Linked DNA regions of Chlamydomonas reinhardtii. Each later gene encodes a partner of the first gene's protein in a complex. Links are inferred from orthologs where the notes say so. Each region holds a gene or a part of one and is shown on either strand. Other genes may lie near its edges.

What was found.
Region 2: CHLRE_11g468700v5 (region 1) and CHLRE_14g608800v5 share a complex: the UniProt entries of both Arabidopsis thaliana proteins name them as parts of the SGR1-CCE-LHCII complex. The link is inferred for Chlamydomonas reinhardtii from reciprocal best matches to the Arabidopsis thaliana genes HCAR and NOL.

What each region holds. Positions count from the first base shown.
Region 1 is NC_057014.1:2,054,046-2,063,600, reverse strand, and holds the end of CHLRE_11g468700v5 (uncharacterized protein), read left to right. Parts: intron 1-457; coding exon 458-560; intron 561-866; coding exon 867-937; intron 938-1,503; coding exon 1,504-1,552; intron 1,553-1,826; coding exon 1,827-1,892; intron 1,893-2,271; coding exon 2,272-2,307; intron 2,308-2,482; coding exon 2,483-2,568; intron 2,569-2,834; coding exon 2,835-2,915; intron 2,916-3,221; coding exon 3,222-3,357; intron 3,358-3,800; coding exon 3,801-3,854; intron 3,855-4,053; coding exon 4,054-4,116; intron 4,117-4,317; coding exon 4,318-4,365; intron 4,366-4,640; coding exon 4,641-4,745; intron 4,746-5,054; coding exon 5,055-5,098; intron 5,099-5,378; coding exon 5,379-5,517; 3' UTR 5,518-6,011; downstream 6,012-9,555. Other genes in the region: CHLRE_11g468650v5 (uncharacterized protein), read right to left, coding at 7,483-7,869, 8,070-8,174, 8,320-9,555. UniProt on the Arabidopsis thaliana protein: Probable iron-sulfur flavoprotein that converts 7-hydroxymethyl chlorophyll a to chlorophyll a using ferredoxin as a reducing equivalent. Catalyzes the reduction of a hydroxymethyl group to a methyl group. Belongs to the chlorophyll catabolic enzymes (CCEs).
Region 2 is NC_057017.1:172,774-182,210, reverse strand, and holds CHLRE_14g608800v5 (uncharacterized protein), read left to right. Parts: upstream 1-3,603; 5' UTR 3,604-3,741; coding exon 3,742-4,108; intron 4,109-4,345; coding exon 4,346-4,414; intron 4,415-4,784; coding exon 4,785-4,846; intron 4,847-5,314; coding exon 5,315-5,400; intron 5,401-5,621; coding exon 5,622-5,739; intron 5,740-6,130; coding exon 6,131-6,165; intron 6,166-6,579; coding exon 6,580-6,706; intron 6,707-6,959; coding exon 6,960-7,068; intron 7,069-7,294; coding exon 7,295-7,440; intron 7,441-7,789; coding exon 7,790-7,834; 3' UTR 7,835-8,630; downstream 8,631-9,437. Other genes in the region: CHLRE_14g608850v5 (uncharacterized protein), read right to left, coding at 1,087-1,333, 1,894-2,060, 2,557-2,865; CHLRE_14g608788v5 (uncharacterized protein), read right to left, coding at 9,162-9,437. UniProt on the Arabidopsis thaliana protein: Required for chlorophyll b degradation. Chlorophyll b, chlorophyllide b, pheophorbide b and pheophytin b can be used as substrates. Belongs to the chlorophyll catabolic enzymes (CCEs).

The sequences.
Region 1 (9,555 bases):
AGATGGGGTGGGGTGGGGTGGAGGGGGGGTTGTAAACACCAGCCCAAACCCAATGCAAACGAGCGAGGAGGAGAGCGTGGGGGAGCCGGGGTAGTCGCAAGCATTCCCACACACGGAGGAGTACTACATGTGCACTAGCGCGTGGCCGTGTGGTGTTGCGGTGTCGCGGCAACGCTCTAGCCGTGAAGCAATGCCTGCGCCATCGCCCGGTGGCGCTGCTCCTATGCTGGCTTGGACTCGTTGCCACGCCAAGCAAATGTCAACGTTTCACATTCCTCACATCACCCCAGGCTCCCAACACAAGTTCCATCGCACACACACACACACACACGCAACATTCGTAAACCGTCGCTTTGCTGCATCGCATACACTGACTTTGTGCAATGTTTTCCTTGTGCTTTTCAACACGCTCAACGCCGCCACTCAACACATACTCCCGCACCCCCCCCCCCCGCAGTGACGACGAGCTCCACTTTGGCGTCACGGCCCCGGGCGGCATGGCCTACGCTGCCAACGTGCCGGGCGTGCCGGGAGCGCAGTGGACCGGCATTGTGACTCAAGTGGGGGTTGGCTGGTGTAGATGGTGGGGTTGGTTGGATGGGTGGATAAGTGGGTGCCTGGGTTGGGATGGGGGTGGTGTTAAGGGAACAACGTCCGCGCCGTGGTCTTGGTATTGCATGGGGTCATGCGTGGGCAATGTCGTACTGATATGCCTCGGCGGGCCGCGCTCCCAACTACCTGTACCAACCGCCCCCACCGCCTCTGCTACTGCGATGCTGCTGCCGTACTGCCAACCGCTTGTCAACCCCTCGCTCCCGTACCCGCCGTACATACTTGCTGCCGCTGCCGTACCGTTACCCATGCAGATCGCCATCGAGATGCTCCAGAGCGGCAAGGTGGACGCGGTGGTGTGCGTGCAGAGCGACGAGAACGACAGGTGGGTGCGCAGGCGGTGGTGGGCGTGTGGGCGTGCCGAAGTGGGCAATGGATCGAATGAGTGACGATCCGAGCCATTCGGCTGTTCGATGGTTGACTTCGTGGCGCCTCGTGGAGCTTCAGAGAGATCAAGGACGCCTGGCCAATCTTGAGGGGCCCCACCGCTCATCCGGCTAAGTCGTCGGCTAACCCGGGGGGTGCGGGCCGCTCGTCCGGCTGGGCGAGCGACTCAGCGCGCTGAGCCCGCAGCCCCCTTCACTGGGCTGAAGCTCTCAGCAGCTGAGCCTTCCGCTCAGCGACCGGAGCTCGCTGAGAGCAGCCGAAACAGCCCGTGTGATCCCTCTACACGTTTGGTCCTGGCAGCGCCTCGACTCCTACTCCTACTCATACTCCTACTGCTCTTAACCTTCTTCTTCAGCCTCTCCGTTGTCAAAGCATAGGCCACGCTGTCCTCGTCGCCCGTTTGCATTGGGATTGCTGTAGGTTGGGACGGCATCTACAGCAGTACAGCCCCACTCCCAGCCCAACCGGCGCCATTCTCCCCCTGCTTGTCCTCCACTCCCGCAGGTTCACGCCAAAGCCCGTGGTGGCTCGCACCGTGGAAGACATCATCAAGGTGTGTGCCGTACATGTTTGTGCGTGGTGTACGTGTTTTTGAGCAAGCATAAAGTAAAGTGTGTGACACGTTTAGCAGGATGCACGAAGAGGAGTGTACGGCATGCCGTGCGTGTATGTGTGCGTGGGGGCCCACGTGGACGCATGCCACCCGTCAGGCCCCGCCAGGCCCCGTCTGCTGCTGACCCGCCCAACCCCACCCTAACCACATTCCAGCCGCCCCAACCATCCGACCAACCGCCCAACCGCCCCAACTGCCCAACCACCCCACACAGGCCCGCGGTGTGAAGCCCACCCTGTCGCCCAACCTAAACGTGCTGGCCACCGTGGAGGCGCTGCAGGTGGGGGTGTGAGGATGACAGGATGTGGTGGTGTGGGGGGGAGGCGCTGCAGGTGGGGGGAGGCGGCGGTGTGTGTGTGAGGAGGAGCTGCAGGTGGGGGAGGCGGTGTGAGGAGGTGGCGGCGTGTATTGGCGGTGTGTGTTCGCGCGAATGAGGCGGCCGAGCTGTGTGCTGCTGCACGCACGTGCGCGGGTTACTCGATCAAACTTGAGTAATGGCCTGAGCATTGGCAAGCTGACCTACGCCGCTGCCGTGCTCCGCTGCCGCCCTCCCCACCACTCGCGTTCCAACGCCTGATGTTTTTTCTTGCTGTCCCCTGATTCCCTGCTTGTATCCTGTTCCCAATGTTTTGTTTAACCTTGAACTCCCCACCCCGCAGGTCAAGAAGCTGCTCTTTATTGGCGTGGGGTGCCAGGTGTGTGTGTGGGGGGGGGGGCCCAGGGGCGCGCAGCACGATCCAACAATGCCACACGTCCCCTGTCACCCCATCCCTCCACCGCCCCTCCACCCCATCCCTCCACCGCCCCTCCACCCCACCCGAACCCCACCCCACCCCACCTGACCCCATCCTCCTCCCCTCCACCGCCCAGGTCCAAGCCCTTCGCTCCATCGAGCCGCACCTGGGGCTGGAGAAGCTGTACGTGCTGGGGACCAACTGCGTGGACAACGGGCCCAGGTGGGAGCTGGCGTGGCGCCTGTCGAAAGGCTTGGATTGGGGCAAGTTAAGGACACGTGTTGAGAACAGGGTCCAAGTGAGCCATCATCACGTGGGGCCAACGCCAACACCCATGATCACCTGTGAGCACCACTTTTCACTTTCCTACACACACACACACACACACACACACACACGTGCGCGCACACACACGCAGGGCTGGCTTTCGTTTCGTTTTTTAACACACATGTGCACACACACACACACACACACACACACACACGCAGGAAGGGCCTGGACAAGTTCCTCAAGGCCGCCAGCACGCGGCCCGACCAGGCCCTGCACTACGAATTCATGCAGGACTACAGGTGGGGAGTGTGGAAAGAGTGTGGGGAGTGTGCGGGCAGCAAGCGGGGGTGCGTTAGGTGTGTACGTGGGGTACGAGTGAGCCGTCCCAAGCCCCAGGGCGCAGCGGCGTGGTTGCAAAAGGAGGTGAGGCATCCCAGTCAAGTGCCCCTCCTGTAAATACACACACACACACACACACACACACACACACACACACACACACACACACACACAAAAGCACACCACTATAACACACAAGCACCCTCATCCCACACAAGCACGCACATCCCCCCCACACACATATATACATACACACGCACACACAGGGTTCACGTGAAGCACACGGACGGGTCGTTTGAGTACGTGCCGTACTTCTGTCTGCCCGCCAACGAGCTGAACGACGTCATCGCGCCCTCCTGCTACTCCTGCTTCGACTACCCCAACGCCTTGGCAGACATGGTGGTGAGAGAGTGGCGTGTGTGGTGGGCGGCATGAGGGGGAGAGGAGATGCGGGCAGGAGCTGTGGGGATGGTGACGGCTGTGTACGGTGCGCGTGTGTTTGTGTGTGAGGGCAGCAAAATGGACACGCCCTACAAGCTGAACTGAAGGCGTACCTGTGCGTGGAGCTTCTTGCATGTCGGCAAGTGTGTGGGTGTGGGTGTGGGTGTGGGTGTGGGTGTGGGTGTGAATGCGAGTGTGAGTCCGCAAGCCGGCTATGGCGTGTCCGGGTGTGTGTATGTGGCTCGTCGTACATCCTCGAAGCCCCGTGTTCCGCCCACCTGCCCTCCCGCCCCTCCCCCCTCCCTCCCGCGACAATTCCATGAATACTGCGACCTAACTCGTTGAGCTCGGGCCTAGAACTTCACATTTTATTAAGCAATCATGAATGTAACCCGCCCCCCCAGGTGGGCTACATGGGAGTTCCCTACCTGAACAAAGACATGACCTCACACCCCCAGGTGCGGGCTGGCGGGTGAAAACGCCGTGCGGCCCGCCAACTACTGCATTGTAATCATGCATAGATTGGAAGCTGTACTTCTGTTGTGATCGCCTGACGCCTGTTGTGAAGAGCAATCCACGTGCCAAAGACCCTGCCTCTTTTAACAATAACCTCAACTCCAAATTAATTAACACCTCCCGACAAACTCCACTGCGCAGTATGTGGTGGTCCGCAACGACCGCGGTAATGAGCTGTTGGACAGCGTGCGGCACCGACTGCAGGTGGGGTGGGCGTGAGGGCAGGAGTGGGAGTGGCGGTAGGAGCGCGCGCGTGCGGTGCAGGCATTGGCGCGCGGGTGTCAGGGTGGGGTTGCGGGCACGAAGGGCACTGAGTAAGGTACTCGGAGATCTCCCCCTCACCCTGAAGCACATGTTCAGTAGTCAGTACCCCTCCCCATGCCACGCTCCTTGCACCCCACGCAGATCACGCCCACCGTCTCCACAGGCGACCGCCGGGGCATTGTGATGCAGGTGCGTGCGCGTGCGGATGTGTATGTTGTGCTGCTTTACCTTGCAGTAAAAGGACTAGATAGCAGCTCACAGACCATCATTCCGCAACACGCCACTACGGTGTGTCTGTTAGAGAGCACAAGGGAAGGGAGCACAGCGCGCAGCACTGTGTACGCGATACCGTGCGACACTCGCGGCATTTCCGCTCGCATACATGTTTCTTTACTTGCACCTGTCCATGCGTGTACTTGCCATGCCCCCGCCCCCCCCCCCCCGCCGTTCGCCCGCACACACAGACGGTGGCCAGCGATGATGAGGCCAAGATGGGCCAGCTGCGGGACCCCGCGCCGCGCTGGCTGGGCAACATGCTGGCCTGGCTGCTCAACCTGATCGGGCCCAAGGTGGGGAGGGAGGGAAGGGCGAGTGAGGGAGGGAGGGTGAGGGCGAGTGGGAGTTACGTGGGAGCGGGTGGAACGGAGGGCGGGAGGGAGAGCGGGTGGGAGTGACGCGAGTGTGCGGGGAACCTGTAGGGCAGCGGGGGCATGACTCGAGCCTGTCAACATGTACGGGCAGCACTGCCGCTGCTGTCGCCCACCGCACATTCCTTCTGCGCCAGTCGTGTCTCCTGGCGTGTCTCCTGTCTTGTCTCCTGTCTTGATAGTTTAACGATGTTGTGCCCTGGCTGTGCTGTTTATCTGTTCCTGCGTCAGGGTCTGGAGTTCGGCAAGTACTCCATCGACTACCACTACATCAGGTGCGGGCGGGGCAGAGGAGTCGGGCGTGCGGCGGGAGGGGCGGCGGGCCCGGGCCGCCGCGGCTGGGTGTGGTGTAATGCGGGTCAGTGTGGGACTGCATGGCACAAACACACAGGCTCGGAGCCTCGCACAGCCTCATTGACGAAATTAGCTGACATGTCACTGTATCATTGATTACCGCATAAGGCCGCCCAAACGGAGTCAGCCGAGTCAACCGAGTCAACCGAGTCAACGCAACCAACCACGCAATCAACCGCCCCTGCCCCACGCGCCACACAGGAACTACTTGTACGTCAACCGCAAGTGGGGGGCCAAGCGCGCCGAGCAGCACATTCCCTCCTTCGCCAAGAAGATCGTGCAGCAGTACGACAAGGACGGGGCCGTGAGCAAGCGCATCAGCCTCAAGCCCAAGTTCTAGTCTATACTCGCATCATTGTGAATTAAGGTTATGAGTTGAGGTGGAGGCTGAGTCCCCGTCAGGGGCTTAAAATAGAGTTCTTTACAGTTTCGCTGGGTTGTGGCGGGGTACGGTGTGGGACACGGGTATGTGTGGGTTACTTATGGGGGCTGACCGGCGTGCCTTGTGGCAGAGGAATGAACTCGAAATTGCACGGCGCGGTGGAGGGAATAACGACACTCTACTCGAATCGATGCTCGCAGGATGGGGCCGAAATGCGCGTTGCATGGTGTTGAGGAGCGGTCATCGTACTGATAAGTAGCGGTTTGGCTCAGAGTAGTACCTATCTATTAGACCTCGTAATTGCAAGACAAGACGACGACGTGTAGAGTATTCTATAGGAAGCAGGCCGGATTGAGGTGCGTGCTTGCCATGGGCACCGTGGCACACTGGCACCAGCACCGGCACCGTGGTACCCACGCATACCATGCTTACTGACATTCCCGCAATTTAAACTCGGCACGCTACGTTTCCGGGGTGGGAAACCACGCCAGTCAAGATGCGTGGGCATGGCACCCCAAGATGCCTGGGCGGACCAGCCCCGCCAGTCGAGATACGTGGACATGCCGACATGGCTCCCCAAGATGCCTGCGCAGGGCTACCCCAGCAACCTCAGATGCGCGTGCGCGGGGGTCAGGTTGCCTCTGGAACTTAGCTGCCAGACCAGACCCCCCCGCCAGATGCCTGCGCTAGGCAACTTTCCCACCCTCCGTACGACATTGTTACCACACATGAGAGACAGTGAGCAAGTGAGGCAGTCTGCACCAAGGTCAGCACGCACGGGTCTGGCATCATTATCTGGCGGTGAGCGTGAGAGCTGCGTACGCATCTGAGGTTGGTTCCCAAAGGAGTAGTGGGAAGAGCAAGGGAAGACAAGCTGGGCTGGTCACGTGCTGCACTGCGCCGCACTGCGCTGCACTACCGTACTGCGCTGCACTGCAGTACTGCACAAGTGCACAGGAGGCAATAGAGTGCACATAGCCAAGCCCAGTACATCGTCCAGCTGCCCAGTACGTCTTCCTGGAGGGTCGGAGTGAGAGAGCTTGGTCGGCTGGTCGGTTACAACCATCACGACCAAGCCACGTATGCTCACTCTGCACAGGCTCTGCAGTCTGCACAGGCTCAGCAGATTCCCAGTCTCGCGAGTGAAGCCCGTTTCATAGCAGCTGCAATGCCGTAATCTTCACGCTGAGGTCGTACAGGTCGCCACAACTGCTGCAACCATAACTGCCGGTAGTGCGGTTACTACGAGCTGACAGTGCCACCACGTAGCGCAACTAGCCTGGTCAAATCGTCTAACAGAACAGCTTGGGGTTCGGCCAACTGTAGGGTACGTGTCCTTACCGTGCATCACTAACGAACCCGCCTCCACACCACATCACAACATGCGTGACAAAAGCAAAGCCGGCTGTCAATCAAACTCACACTGACGCCCTGAATGCCGGTCCAGCCAGGTAGGGGGGCCCGCAGCCCCGCAGCAGCAGCCCTGTCTAGCCAGACGCCGGCAGCCAATGTCGTAAACACTTCTCCTGGACCAAGCGGTGTCGTTAAGACCCAAATCTATACATCATACCGGCACACAAGATTCCCAAATATTCCTCGCAACAAGAAAAGTGTCTCCCAGAACGTGGGCTGCGTCCACTACTCGCCCGTCTGAGGCTGAAGGTTCCAAAAGTACGGTACCTCACCTCCCGGACATGACCAGGACAGTTCGTACAGGCACCGCCCGCGTTAGGCTGGTATATATGGTACTCGGCTTGCGTGTGTGGTAACAGCGTTGCGCCTTGGGCGCTTTACCCGCAACAGTCACATGTCCATCCATTCGCGCAGCTGCTCCTCGCAAACACACGCTTCACGGCACTTCATAAATGGCACATGAACAGAACGTCCCATCACATCACACAACATCACGCCGACCCACCAGGACTACACGCCCTCGGCGACACCGCCGGCGCCCTCGGCCGGCGCCCCGCCCACCACCTCCTCGGCCGCGGCGACCAGCTCCGCCAGCCAGTCTATGCGCGCGGGGGCATTCTTGTTTCCGTACCTCCTGCACCTGGCGAGCAGCTCCCTGAGAGCTGCATGCAGCCCAGGCGTCCACTGCACCTGCTCCTGCTGGCCTTGCCCGCCGCCCATACCCACAGCCCACTGCAGCTCCGCTATTACGGCAGTCCCACTACGTGCATCCTCAAACACCAGGCTCTCGACCAGCTCCTGCCTGGACGTCGCCACCAGGCCGTAGCGCACCAGCCAGTCCGCCGCCGCCCAGTTGCCGCCGCGCAACACCTGCCGGAACGCGCTGCAGGACAGCGGCTGCAGCGATGCAACAATGGAGCAGAGCGCGGGGGCGGGGGATAGGAATAGACCAGATGTTGCATAGGCAAAACGGAAGGCAGGGGATTATGGGCCTGTGCAATCACACCGCCGCCTGCTGGTGAATATATCTGCACTCAAGCAGGTCAACGCGGCGTGTCAGCTCTGCCATTGCCTACCCCACCCATCCCTCCACCCACCTCCGGCGCCTCCCCAGCAGCTGCGGTCAGCGCCGCCACCGCCCACTCCAGCGCCTCCTCGCTGCCGCCCTCCGCCACTGCCACCAGGTCGATGGCGCCGCCGCGCTGCAGGTACGGCGCGCAGTGGCACATACCGACATACGGTACACATCCTATTACGGTAGCTCATTTGTTAGTAGCTGATGTGGCAACAGTGACCAGTTGTGTCTGCACAACCCACATGACCAACGAATTCACACATGCCACACACCTGCTCGTGCAGGTGCTGCAGCAGTGGCAGGTCAGCACCACTCCTTGCTGCGTTTTGAAACAGGGACGACCAGTCCTTATCAGCACCGCCCTGCTGCACAGCGCCGGGCTCCTCCAGGAGCAGGTAGCGCAGAGACCTCAGCATGTTGGTCCGTGCTAGGTCCTCATTGCGGCTGCGTACGTTTCTGCAAGACACTGCCAGCACCGCCGCAAGGTCGCGAGGCGCCGGGAAGACGTGGCCGCGCTCTCGCAGCAGCCGCAGCACAGGCACGTGACCGCGCTCGAATGCCACTGCTGCGATGGGGATCAGAGGTGGCACCACCAGCCGCCACTGCAGTGGCGGCTGTTGCTGCGGCGCCGGTACGCCCGCTGCAGCCGCCGGCCCACCGCCAGCGGCCGGCACCGCCTGCTGCCGCAGCAGAGCAGGCAGCTGGTCGAGACAGAACTCCACCGCGGCAGTGCTGCCAATGGTGCCGGCCGCCTCAGGCGCATACCTATCTATCATGTCCCGCAGGCGGTAAGACGCCAGCAGCTGCAGCCGCTGCGGAAAGTCGGGGCGCCTCATAATGTTGGACACCCGCTCGTCGATACCCTCGACGTGGCCAAGGCCTGCGCCCAAGCCCGCGGCCGCCCCACCCCACTGAGCCCACAGCCACTCGCATTTGGCGGCCCAGTCGGGCGTGGGGCTGGCCGCCGCCGCCATCAGGAGCTGCCGCCTCTGCCCAGCTGTCCACAGCAATCGACTGCCCCAGCGCTCGTAGTATTGCTGTAGCACCTCCAGCGGGCAGCCGGACGCCACATGCGACAGCACAGTGGGCCTGCCGTCTTCATCTTTTAGGCTCAGGGGAAAGCGCGTCGCCAGCTGCCGCAGCAGCTCCACCCGCCCCGCCGCCGCGGCGGCCCCCAGGAGTCTGCGCTTACAGCCAGGCCGCTGTGATACGTCCGCCTGCCTAAGCGCCAACTCCACCGCATCTGAATGCCTGGCGTAGCAGAGCTCTGGCAAGATCGTGAAGATAGCGGAAGTAACTGTCTCAACAAGCCATTTGCACACGGGCAGGCTGCCGGCAACGCCAGCTGCTGCCGCGGCGAGCTCAGGCTCCATGTCGTAGCCCTCGCTCTCGTGCAGCCGCCGGCACGCCGCCAGGTCACCGGCAGCGATGGCGGACGCTAGAGCGTCTGCCTGTATGACCGTCCCGCAGTGCGCCAGGGCCGCGTCCAGGCTGGGTTCGTGGTGGCT
Region 2 (9,437 bases), on another chromosome or scaffold:
GCTGACGGGAGCTTGGCATGGTGGTCCAAAGAGGCAAAGACGCCAAGATGGGGTTTCCGTGTCCTTCTCCCCCCACCCCCAACCCCCAACCTTCCCCCCGGCCCCCTGCTCATCTATGGTGTATCCAAGACTTGCTTGCTTGTTGACTGCCGTGCACTCAAGTACAAGTAAGTAGAACTGGTGTGGATTTAGGCGCAAAAACTGGGTGGTCGAAAAACCATGCTTCCGCGAATGGTCAACATTAGCAGCCTTACGTTTGCACAAGGAATAGACAGCGGTCGCCATCAGGGAGACCCCGAGGGAGACCCCGACCTCGCGACCTCGCGACCTCGCGAAAGTCAAGTCATGTACATGGACTCGCGAGGTCGCTTCTCGCTCCGGCCGAGTTTTCCCTGCCGCCTATTTTTTTCTACAATAGGGAATAGCAATTCATGCCATGTGCAACTGAAAACGGAGCATATGGACGGGATCAACTACACGGTTTGCCTGATCACCCCTGGCCCATCGGCACGGCGCGACGGTCAGCACAACTACTTGCGGATGAGGTCTGGCGCCCCGCCATCCGCTGGCTAAATCTACACGGTGCTGTGTCGCTTGCTCTCTTCCGACTACAGTGGGCCACCTTCCAGGGTCGCGCAAGATTTGCCAAAGCCCCCATCCCAAGTGCACCAACCCCGGCCCCCCGCTCGATACCCCCCATGCCTGCACACACATCAACTGCAGATCAACCTCACATACACCGCCCCCAAGGCCACGCACGACTCGTCCGCAAACGTTTGACTCGCCCACAGGCGCTGCACCAGTGGCTTTGTGGAGCGACACATCACCACTCCCACACGCATCCTGCGTGCCGTATCCAAGCATTAGGGCTTCCTAGACACCCGTCATCCCCTGCAGGCAGCTCCCCCAGGCCGGCCCGGGCAACACAGCTGCAGCAGCTCCACGCCTCTATCTCCACCTCGCCCTCCGCACATCCAGCACCCGCGCGCTACTGCTGCTCCTGCTCCTTGCCTCCACACCGCCCAACCGAACCCCTCCTCCTCCCATCCCACCTCAATCCCCCTCGCCATACTCCCCGCCCCCCTCCTACTCCAGCTGCATCATGACTGCCGACAGCTGCTCCAGCGCCGCCAGCGTGTCCAGCTCCCCCCGGCCCGAGGGAGGAGGAACCACCTCCACAACCACTGCAGTAGCAGCAGCAGCAGCAGCCCCCGCCTCGCCCCCAGCGGCAGCAGCAGCAGCAGCGGGCCGCCAGCCGCGGCCGGCGGCGGCCGCCAGTGCGTCGGCCTCGCCGCAGCCGCACAGGGCCGCCAGACGGGCCGCGCTGATGTGGCTGCGGCGGTGGGAGGGAGGGGCGATGGGCAGGACGGGAGGCGCGTGTGAGAGATGTGGAGTGCACGTGAGCAGTGAGCGGTGCATTGTGATGGTGGCTCACCGGCGTTCGTGCACAAGCGGCCCAGCGGCCACAGCAGCACAGCACGGCAACCCGCCCACACGCCTTCACCACCACATTAACGGACAACAACACGTCGTACACCCCTCCTCGCCGCCCTGTTTGCACCCCTCCCCCTCCCCCTATCTCAACACCTTCCGAGCCTACCCCAGCCCGCCCCAAGCGCCCACAGCCGCCTGACCACCACAGTTTGCGCTCTAAATTCGCCCCCTCATGGGGATGGCGAAAAGGACCCCCCCCCCTCCCGCGGTGCCCCTCGCCCTGCTGCTCCACGACACCTCGGCCCCCTCCCATAAGAAGTCCCGCTTGCATTTGTCGCCTCTGCCTGTGCTCCGCTAGTTCAACTTGCTTTGGGCTGGTATTTACACCCCCCGCCTTGGTCCCCCTATTGGGCTCGGCCACAAAACCCTTCCCCCCCCAAAACCGCCGCCCCCCCTCACCTGTAGGCCTGCTCCACCAGGTCCAGCTGCCTCGCGCGCAGCCGCTCCGCCAGCGCCTCCACCAGCTGCCCCGCCGGCCCCGACCAGGGGTGGCCGCGCAGTGCCCGCCACACGCCCTCGCCGCTGCCCTGCCAGGCGCACTGCAGCAGCCGAGCCGCGGCAGCCACCTGGGGTGGAGGCGGGTGTGTGCACGCACGGGGGGGGCGGCAGGGGCGTGTGAGGGGGGCACAGGGGCGTTGGGATGCACAGGAGCGGGCAGACAGGCCCTGCGGGCGCGTGAGCTTTGGCCAACAGGAAGTACAGGCGGCGTCGCATGGCGGTGCAAAGCTGGAGACGGCAACACGTGCCCCTACTCTGTCCGCCCCTGGCGCTGCTCTCGACCGCCCATCATGGCAGGGACTGGGTTGCGCCGCCGTCTCCACGCCCAACTCCCCTCGCTCGCCCTGCCCGCCAGTTCAGTGCTGTGGAGCAAAGAACGGATTCCGGGCATGCACACACGCCAGCCCCCCAGCCCCCCCCCCAGCTCGCCCCCAACAGACCACCAGCCGCCCAGCCGCCTCATGGGCAGTGTGCCAACAACCCCCAGCCCCTCCACACCGCCTCCGACAGCTCCTCACCACCACCACCAGTACCACCTCCCCACCACCACCACCGCCGGCCCACCTGCGGGTCGGCCCTGACCCCCTCGGGCATGCGCTTGAGCAGCAGCCGCGCATCCGCCAGGTTGCCCGCATACACGTGCGACAGCAGGTGCAGCGCAGCAGGCCAGGGCGCAGCAGCGCCGCCGTCGGCGCCTGCAGCGACGCCCGCTGCTCCGCCGCCCGCGGCTGGTCCGCCGCCTCCTCCCTCGGCAGCTGCGCCCCAGGGCGCCAGCGCGGCTAGCTCCGCCTCATCCAGCAGCCCGCACACGCCGCCGTAGTCGCCCGCCGCCAGGGCCGCTCCCACGCGCTCCATCACGCCCGCGGCCGCCATTGCTGCTGCTGGTGAGTCTGTAGTGCTGTGTGGCTGTGCGCGGCTATAGATGGATGCGCAGTGCCTGGGGTCTGTGCCGTGGTGCCAACAAAGGAAAGAGCTGGGTGTGGCGCTACAAGCCGCCTTGCTCCGTAGCGGTGGTGCCGCGGCAGGCCTGTGTAGTAGCTGTGCCGCACACAGAGGCTGCAAGAGGCGCGTTTGTGCAGGCGGGAGGAATGCGGGCGGGCGGTCGCGCAGTGTCAGGGTCGGCGGGCATGGACGGAGAGCCCGGAGAGGTGTCCGAGCGGAAGGCAACGCATGATAGCGATATGGCTCACCCCAGCCAGCCTCACAAACATACCCTCCCAAGATACAAGCCGCACGTACCAAGCCGGTGAGCGCGAGACGCTGTGCTGCTCACAGATCCCTCCACTGCGCGCAAGTTAAGTTTTTCCTCTTGCAACGCAGTTTGCACTAATCGCTTTTATTGTATGTAAATGCTGAATAATATCAACAGTCGGGAGGATCGCAGGTCTGGGAAACGCAAACTCCCGAGGACGCGGTTTGTTGTATTGTCCCGTGCTATTTCTTCCCGCAACGGGTAGAAATGAGAAGCAGTATGTCAAATGCGCTTACGGAAAGGAAGGGAAGGTCAGAACAGCAGGGGCCCTCGATTGCATCATGCAGGTTTCGCTCGCTCTCAGCCATCTGGGCTTCTTGCCTCACCGTGCCAACTCGTTGGCTTATAAACGAACTTGTGGTAACGTTTTGGCGCACTCGGTCTGCTTATCAACGCCCTCTATTGGATTCTACTCGCTCTTTGTTTGTTCCTTCTACGTGCGTGACCAACCACCCCAGCGATCCAACCCAGTCGTCATTTCAATTGTACCGTTAGCCATGATGCTATCGCAGCGCTCGGGCGTTGCCGCGAAGGCTCACGCGTCAACTGCTCGCGCCATCAACCCCAACGCTGTGGCATCACTTGCGGCTAGCGCACGCGGCGGCCCCGCCAGCACCAGCAGCTTCGGCGCCGCAGGACTTGCCCGCGCCTCGCCCGCGCGTCGCGGGCTTGCGCAGGGCGGGAGCGCGGCTGCACGCCGCGCCCGCCGCAGCGTCACGGTGACGCGCGCGGCCACCCAGCAGACCGAGAAGCCAACCGCCGCGGCCAACGGCACCCCCGCAACCGCCACCAACGGTAACGGTGGCGGCAAGGCGGTTGCGCCCCAGGCGCCGTACAACGTGGTTATCACCGGCTCCACCAAGGGTGAGAGCGACCCAGTCGCTGGGGAGGGTGACGGTGGCGGGGGGCGGAGCGGTGGCGAGGTGGCGAATGGGCTGCAGAGGGTGATGGTGGAGACGTGGCGGACGGGTGGGGGAAAGGTGGCGGAGAGGTGGCGAGGTGGCGAAGGGGCTGTCAGGGTGGGCTTGAGGATGCGCATTATCGCTGTGTGTCTGTGTGGACCCAGTCCGCTCTCCCCTGCCTGCTGCCCCCCTGCCCTAGGCATCGGCCGCGCGCTGGCCGAGGACTTCCTGCGGGCGGGCGACCGCGTGGTGGTCTGCAGCCGTACCGGTGAGGCGGGGTGTGGGTGGGTGGGAAACCAACCCAACGTAAACCCAAACCAACGATAAAAAGCGAGGAGGAGACCAAACCAAACTGAGCTAGCGCAGTACAGGCACAGGCGACAGGTGCACAGGGTTAGTTAATTCCAGTCCCAAAGACACCAAAACCCAGAACGCAAGGGGGTTACTTTCGCCCATCCCACGAGTGAAGAAAGAATAGGCGGTCGTCGAGGGCTTCCGGAGCTCGGGCGGTCCGCTGGTCTGCTATTGCAGGGCCTGCACGGGTGCATGTGGGCCCACCACCACCGCCACCACCACGACCTGACCACCACAACCACCACCACCACCTGCGCGCTCTCGCCTCTACACCCGCACCCAAGGTGACCGGGTGTCTGAGACGGTGGCTGAGCTGGCAGCGCAGTACGGCGCTGACCGAGTCAAGGTGAGGGGGCGGTGGTGTTTTGGGGGGAGGGCGGGAGGTTTGCCGTCCATGGGGGTGGGAGCACTGGGGTGGAAGTTAGTTAATTCTGGGGTGGGGAGGTAGTTTGTTCTTAACCCCGACGAAAGCAAGGCCCAGCCAGCCCACAGAGCACGAAGCGGGATTCTATGCCCGAGCCCAACAGGGTTTATGTATCTGGGCCCAATGATAAAATCCCAGGGGGGAATAGCCGTCCACGGAGGGACTAGAACCGGAAGCGGCTGGGGGCAGGTGGGGGTTGAGGGTTGGAGACTTGGGGGCGAAACACAGGGGGGCTGCATGCGGGGCTGTCGGGTCGTGACATCCCCGAGTGTGGATGCATGCGGTCCGATTGATTGCGCAAGGGAGGGGAACGCGTTGGGTACGTGTGCATGTATGTGTGTTTTTGGAAACATGAACGGTGCGTGGCTTATGAACCCGCCACCCCTGCAGGGTCTGGCGGTGGACGTGTCTGCCCCCGGTCAGGCGCGGCAGCTGGCGGACTTTGCGGCGCAGGAGCTCGGGCGCGTGGACATCTGGTACTGAGGGGGAGAGCTGGGGGAGGGCTGGGGGCAGGCGGGCAGACGAGGGGGGGGGAGGGGGGGTCGAGAACCGGAGCCTGTGCTGGAGCGCCTGCCTGCCTGCCTGCCTGGAGGGGAGGGCGCTCCCTCTTGTCGCCTGTGCCGACACGCCCTCTCAACCCCACCTCCCACCTCCACCACCCCCACCTCCTCCACCTCCCGCCTCCTGCGCCCGCCAGGATCAACAACGCCGGCACCAACGCCTACCGCTACGGCCCCATGGCCGAGTCCACCGACGAGGAGCTGAGTCAGATCGTGGGCACCAACGTGCTGGGCGTCATGCTGTGCTGCAAGGAGGTGGGGTGGGGGGGTGAGGGGTGAGGGTGGGATGGGGTGGATGGGATAGGGGGGGTGGGATGGGGGTGGGATGGGCGGGATGTAAATACCAGCCCACTCTCAAGAAGCCAAACTAGCAGAGCACAGGGTACATGGGAAGGGCTTACATCAGGCTTACATGGGCCACCCCCAGTGAAGGGAGGCACGGGACAAGGGCGGCTAGGGGTGGGGGCAGCTGGGGGGAAGGAAAAGGCAGGGGATGCAGAAGCATTGCTCGCCATCCCTCCCTTTGGCTGTCCGCCTTTGGCGAGACAAAGCACGGGGCGCGGGGGCTCGAGTGGACTTTGGACCTGCCAAACCACGCTGTGTATGCGTACGTGTACGGCGTGTGTGTGTCGTACTCTGCCCGCAGGCCATCCGCGTGATGCGCAGCCAGAGCACGCACGGGTGAGCTGCAGCGGGGGAGGGGGCGCCGGCACGGCCAGCTTCCACCGCGCGGGTTAGCCCACCGTGCACGCACATGCAGAGCGATTTACCAGTCAACCTTAATGCCCCATGCCTGCGTGCTGCCTTCTGGTTCCCTGTACCCCTTTCCCCCTGTAACTCGCTAGCTGAGTTTGCTTTGGTTTAGCTTATGCTGGAGTTGACAACCCACCCGACACCCTGAACCGTTCACATGAATGGCTACCCCCCCCCCCCCACCCCCACACCCCCACCCCCACACACAACCCCACTCCCCCCCCCCCTGGAGCGCGGCCGCCCGGACGGCCGCTCATGTGGTAACGACTTCGTCTGCAGTCTTCAGTGCATCCTGTACCGCTTTTCCAAACATCCTTGCAACCCCCCTCGCCCCCCACGTAGCCACATCTTCAACATGGACGGCGCGGGCGCGGACGGCAACGCCACGCCGCGCTTCGCCGCGTACGGCGCCACCAAGCGCTCGCTGGCGCAGCTGGGCAAGAGCCTGAGCGCGGAGCTGGGCATGCTGGTGAGAGGGGAGGGAGGAGGAACGAGGGAGGGGAGAGAGGAGAGAGGGGGGGAGCCAGGGGGAAGAGGGGAGAGGGGAGAGGAGGGGCCTGTGTACGCGAGGCTGTAGGAGGTTTCATACTACGCGCAGCTAGATGAACGGAAGCCTCCTTTCAACCTTCGTGTCACATACACACACACACACACACACACACACACACACACACACACACACACACACACACCTTCTGCCTCCCACCCCCCACCCCCCGCAGGGCATCAAGAATGTGGCTGTGCACAACCTGTCGCCAGGCATGGTCACCACCGAGCTGCTCATGGCGGGCGCCAACACGCCCACCGCCAAGTTCTTCATCAACTGCCTGGGTGCGTGTGGGGCGTGTGTGTGTGGGGGGGGTTGGGGCGGGGTGGGTGGATGTCTTTGTAGGTGCATCAGATGTCAAGACGGTGTGTAAAGGTGTGTGTATTGGCGTGCGCAATGGAGTGCAAGTAGTCCAACCAATCGCGGACCGCCACTCACCCGGCCCTCTGCTGCCCATCCCTTCCTTCCTCCCCTTCCTCCCTTCCCCCTTCCTCCGGTCCCCCGCTACAGCCGAGCCCGCCGCCGACGTGGCCTCCTTCCTGGTCCCCCGCATCCGGGCCGTGCCTGCTACAGCCGCCAGCCCGCTGACCGGCGCGCTACAGCCGGTCTACATCCGCTTCCTCACACAGGGCAAGGCGCTGCAGCGGGTGGCGGCGGTGAGTGGTGGGCTGGAGGGTTGTGCCGGAGGGGCGGGGGAGGGGGCTGGTTGGGGGGCGGGGAAGGCATGGGTTTGAGGGCGGGCGCACGCCGGCGGACGGGTTTGGCAGGCTACCCGAGTGTGCCCTTCCCATGTACGGGGAAAGACCCTAGAGAAACTGCTGAATCCTCGGCACATGGTTTGCGTGTCGGGAGAGCATACCATCGGCCCCCGGCTTTCAACGATGCCTCCCGTGACTCATGGGGCGGGAACTTTAACTGCAACAGCTGCGCGCCCATTCCGCCTCCACCTCCTTCGCTGACCCCCACGCCCACCCGTCCCCCCCCTCCACCCGCACCGCCTGACAGCGGCTGCTGACGGGCTCGCGCAAGAGCCGCTACGTGGAGGAGTGAGGCGGCAGAGCGAGGCGGCCGAGTGAGGCGGAGGAGTGAGGCGGCAGAGTGAGGCGGCAGAGTGGGGCAGGCGGCCGAGTGAGGCGGACGAGTGGATCTGCCGAGTGAGGGAGCTGGCCGTGACGGGAAAGGGGGCGATCGAGGGCGGGGGCCGGTGGCGGACGATGGAGGGGGCCAGATGAGCGGGGGAAAGGGCGGCGGCAGCGTCGTGGATGAGCTGGGGTGGGGAGTGGGGGCGATGAGGCAGGGTAAGGGGCGGGTCGGCGTGGTCCCGTACTGTGCAGCGTATTCCCAGAAACCCACGAGCGAGTGGGAACCAGTGACGGGAGCGGCGGCGGCGTAAATACCGGCCCAAACTGAACCAAACCAGCGGAGCACAATCAGCACAGGTAGAGGCGACAGTTGCAAGGGGGTTGCTGCGTGGAGCCACGGCCGTGGCCTTGTGTGTACCGTGTACCGTGCAGTGCAGGCGTGCGGGGGAGCGGGAGGCCAGGACAGGCCAGGGGCTGGGGGAGGCTGACTGGCTGAGGCAGGCCACGGCTGTGGCGCAGCTGGGGGCGGGGATGCTGGGGCACGGCGTCCCCCAGGCGGGCCGTGTGACTGAATATTGGCGCGGCACGTGATACAGCACAATGGTTTCCACACATTCTTGTGTTGGATCAGGGATACTTGGTGGTATAAAACGGAATGGTGATGCCATTGGATGCACTTTGATGGCTTGCGGCGTGAATGGCAGCTGACTGTATTGACAAGGCAGTGAGGTCTGGGGCTGGGAAGCTGGATGAACGAATGCTCGCCAACAAGTTGAAAGCTCTTGGGCAGCGGTTGGGACACTGGGTAGGACAGGGCAGTCGGTGCCGGGGCATTGGTACCACGCCCTCAACCCGTCAACGGTCCTCAACCGTCCGCACCGCCGTGGCCAGTTGGCACGGCTCGCAGCATCCCACAGGCCCAGCCGCGCCGCCGTGGTCTCCCCGACCTGTCAAGCCACATCGCCGCCCTGCAGCCGCCACACAGCCCACGTCGCACCACTGCCCCCTGTCCCAGTGTGTGTGGGCCCCCATGGGCCCTCCAGCACCTGCAGCGGAGTGCCTCCTGCTGCTGTGACCCGTGCTGCACCTGTCCCTCCTGCCCTGCCCCGCTCCACCACCGCTGCAGGTGGTCTTTCAGCACAAGCCCGCACCTCTACTTCCCATCTACCCCCCCATCGCCATGCCGCACGCACACCCAGCGCTCCGAGCTGAGCTACCGTACTGCCATCCAGCCGGGCCTACAGCACCACCCCTAGCTCCACCAGCACCAGCACCAGCACTCTCACCGCATCGCCTCACAGGTCGCGTTTGTCCCCCCGCACCTCCAACCCCAGGCTCTCCGCCCGCACATCCCCCGCCCCAACCGCCCCCAAACTCCCCCCACTCCCCCTGCCCTCCACTCCCCCTCCTCCCCCTCCCCCTCCTCCCCCTCCTCCACCGCCTCCTCCTCCGCCGCCGCCTCCGCTCCTGTCCAGCAGTGACGCCCCCAGCGATGCGGACAGCATGACGCCGCCGCCCAGCCAGGCCAGGGGGCCCATGGCGCCGTCGGAGCCGTGCAGCAGAAGCCGCGC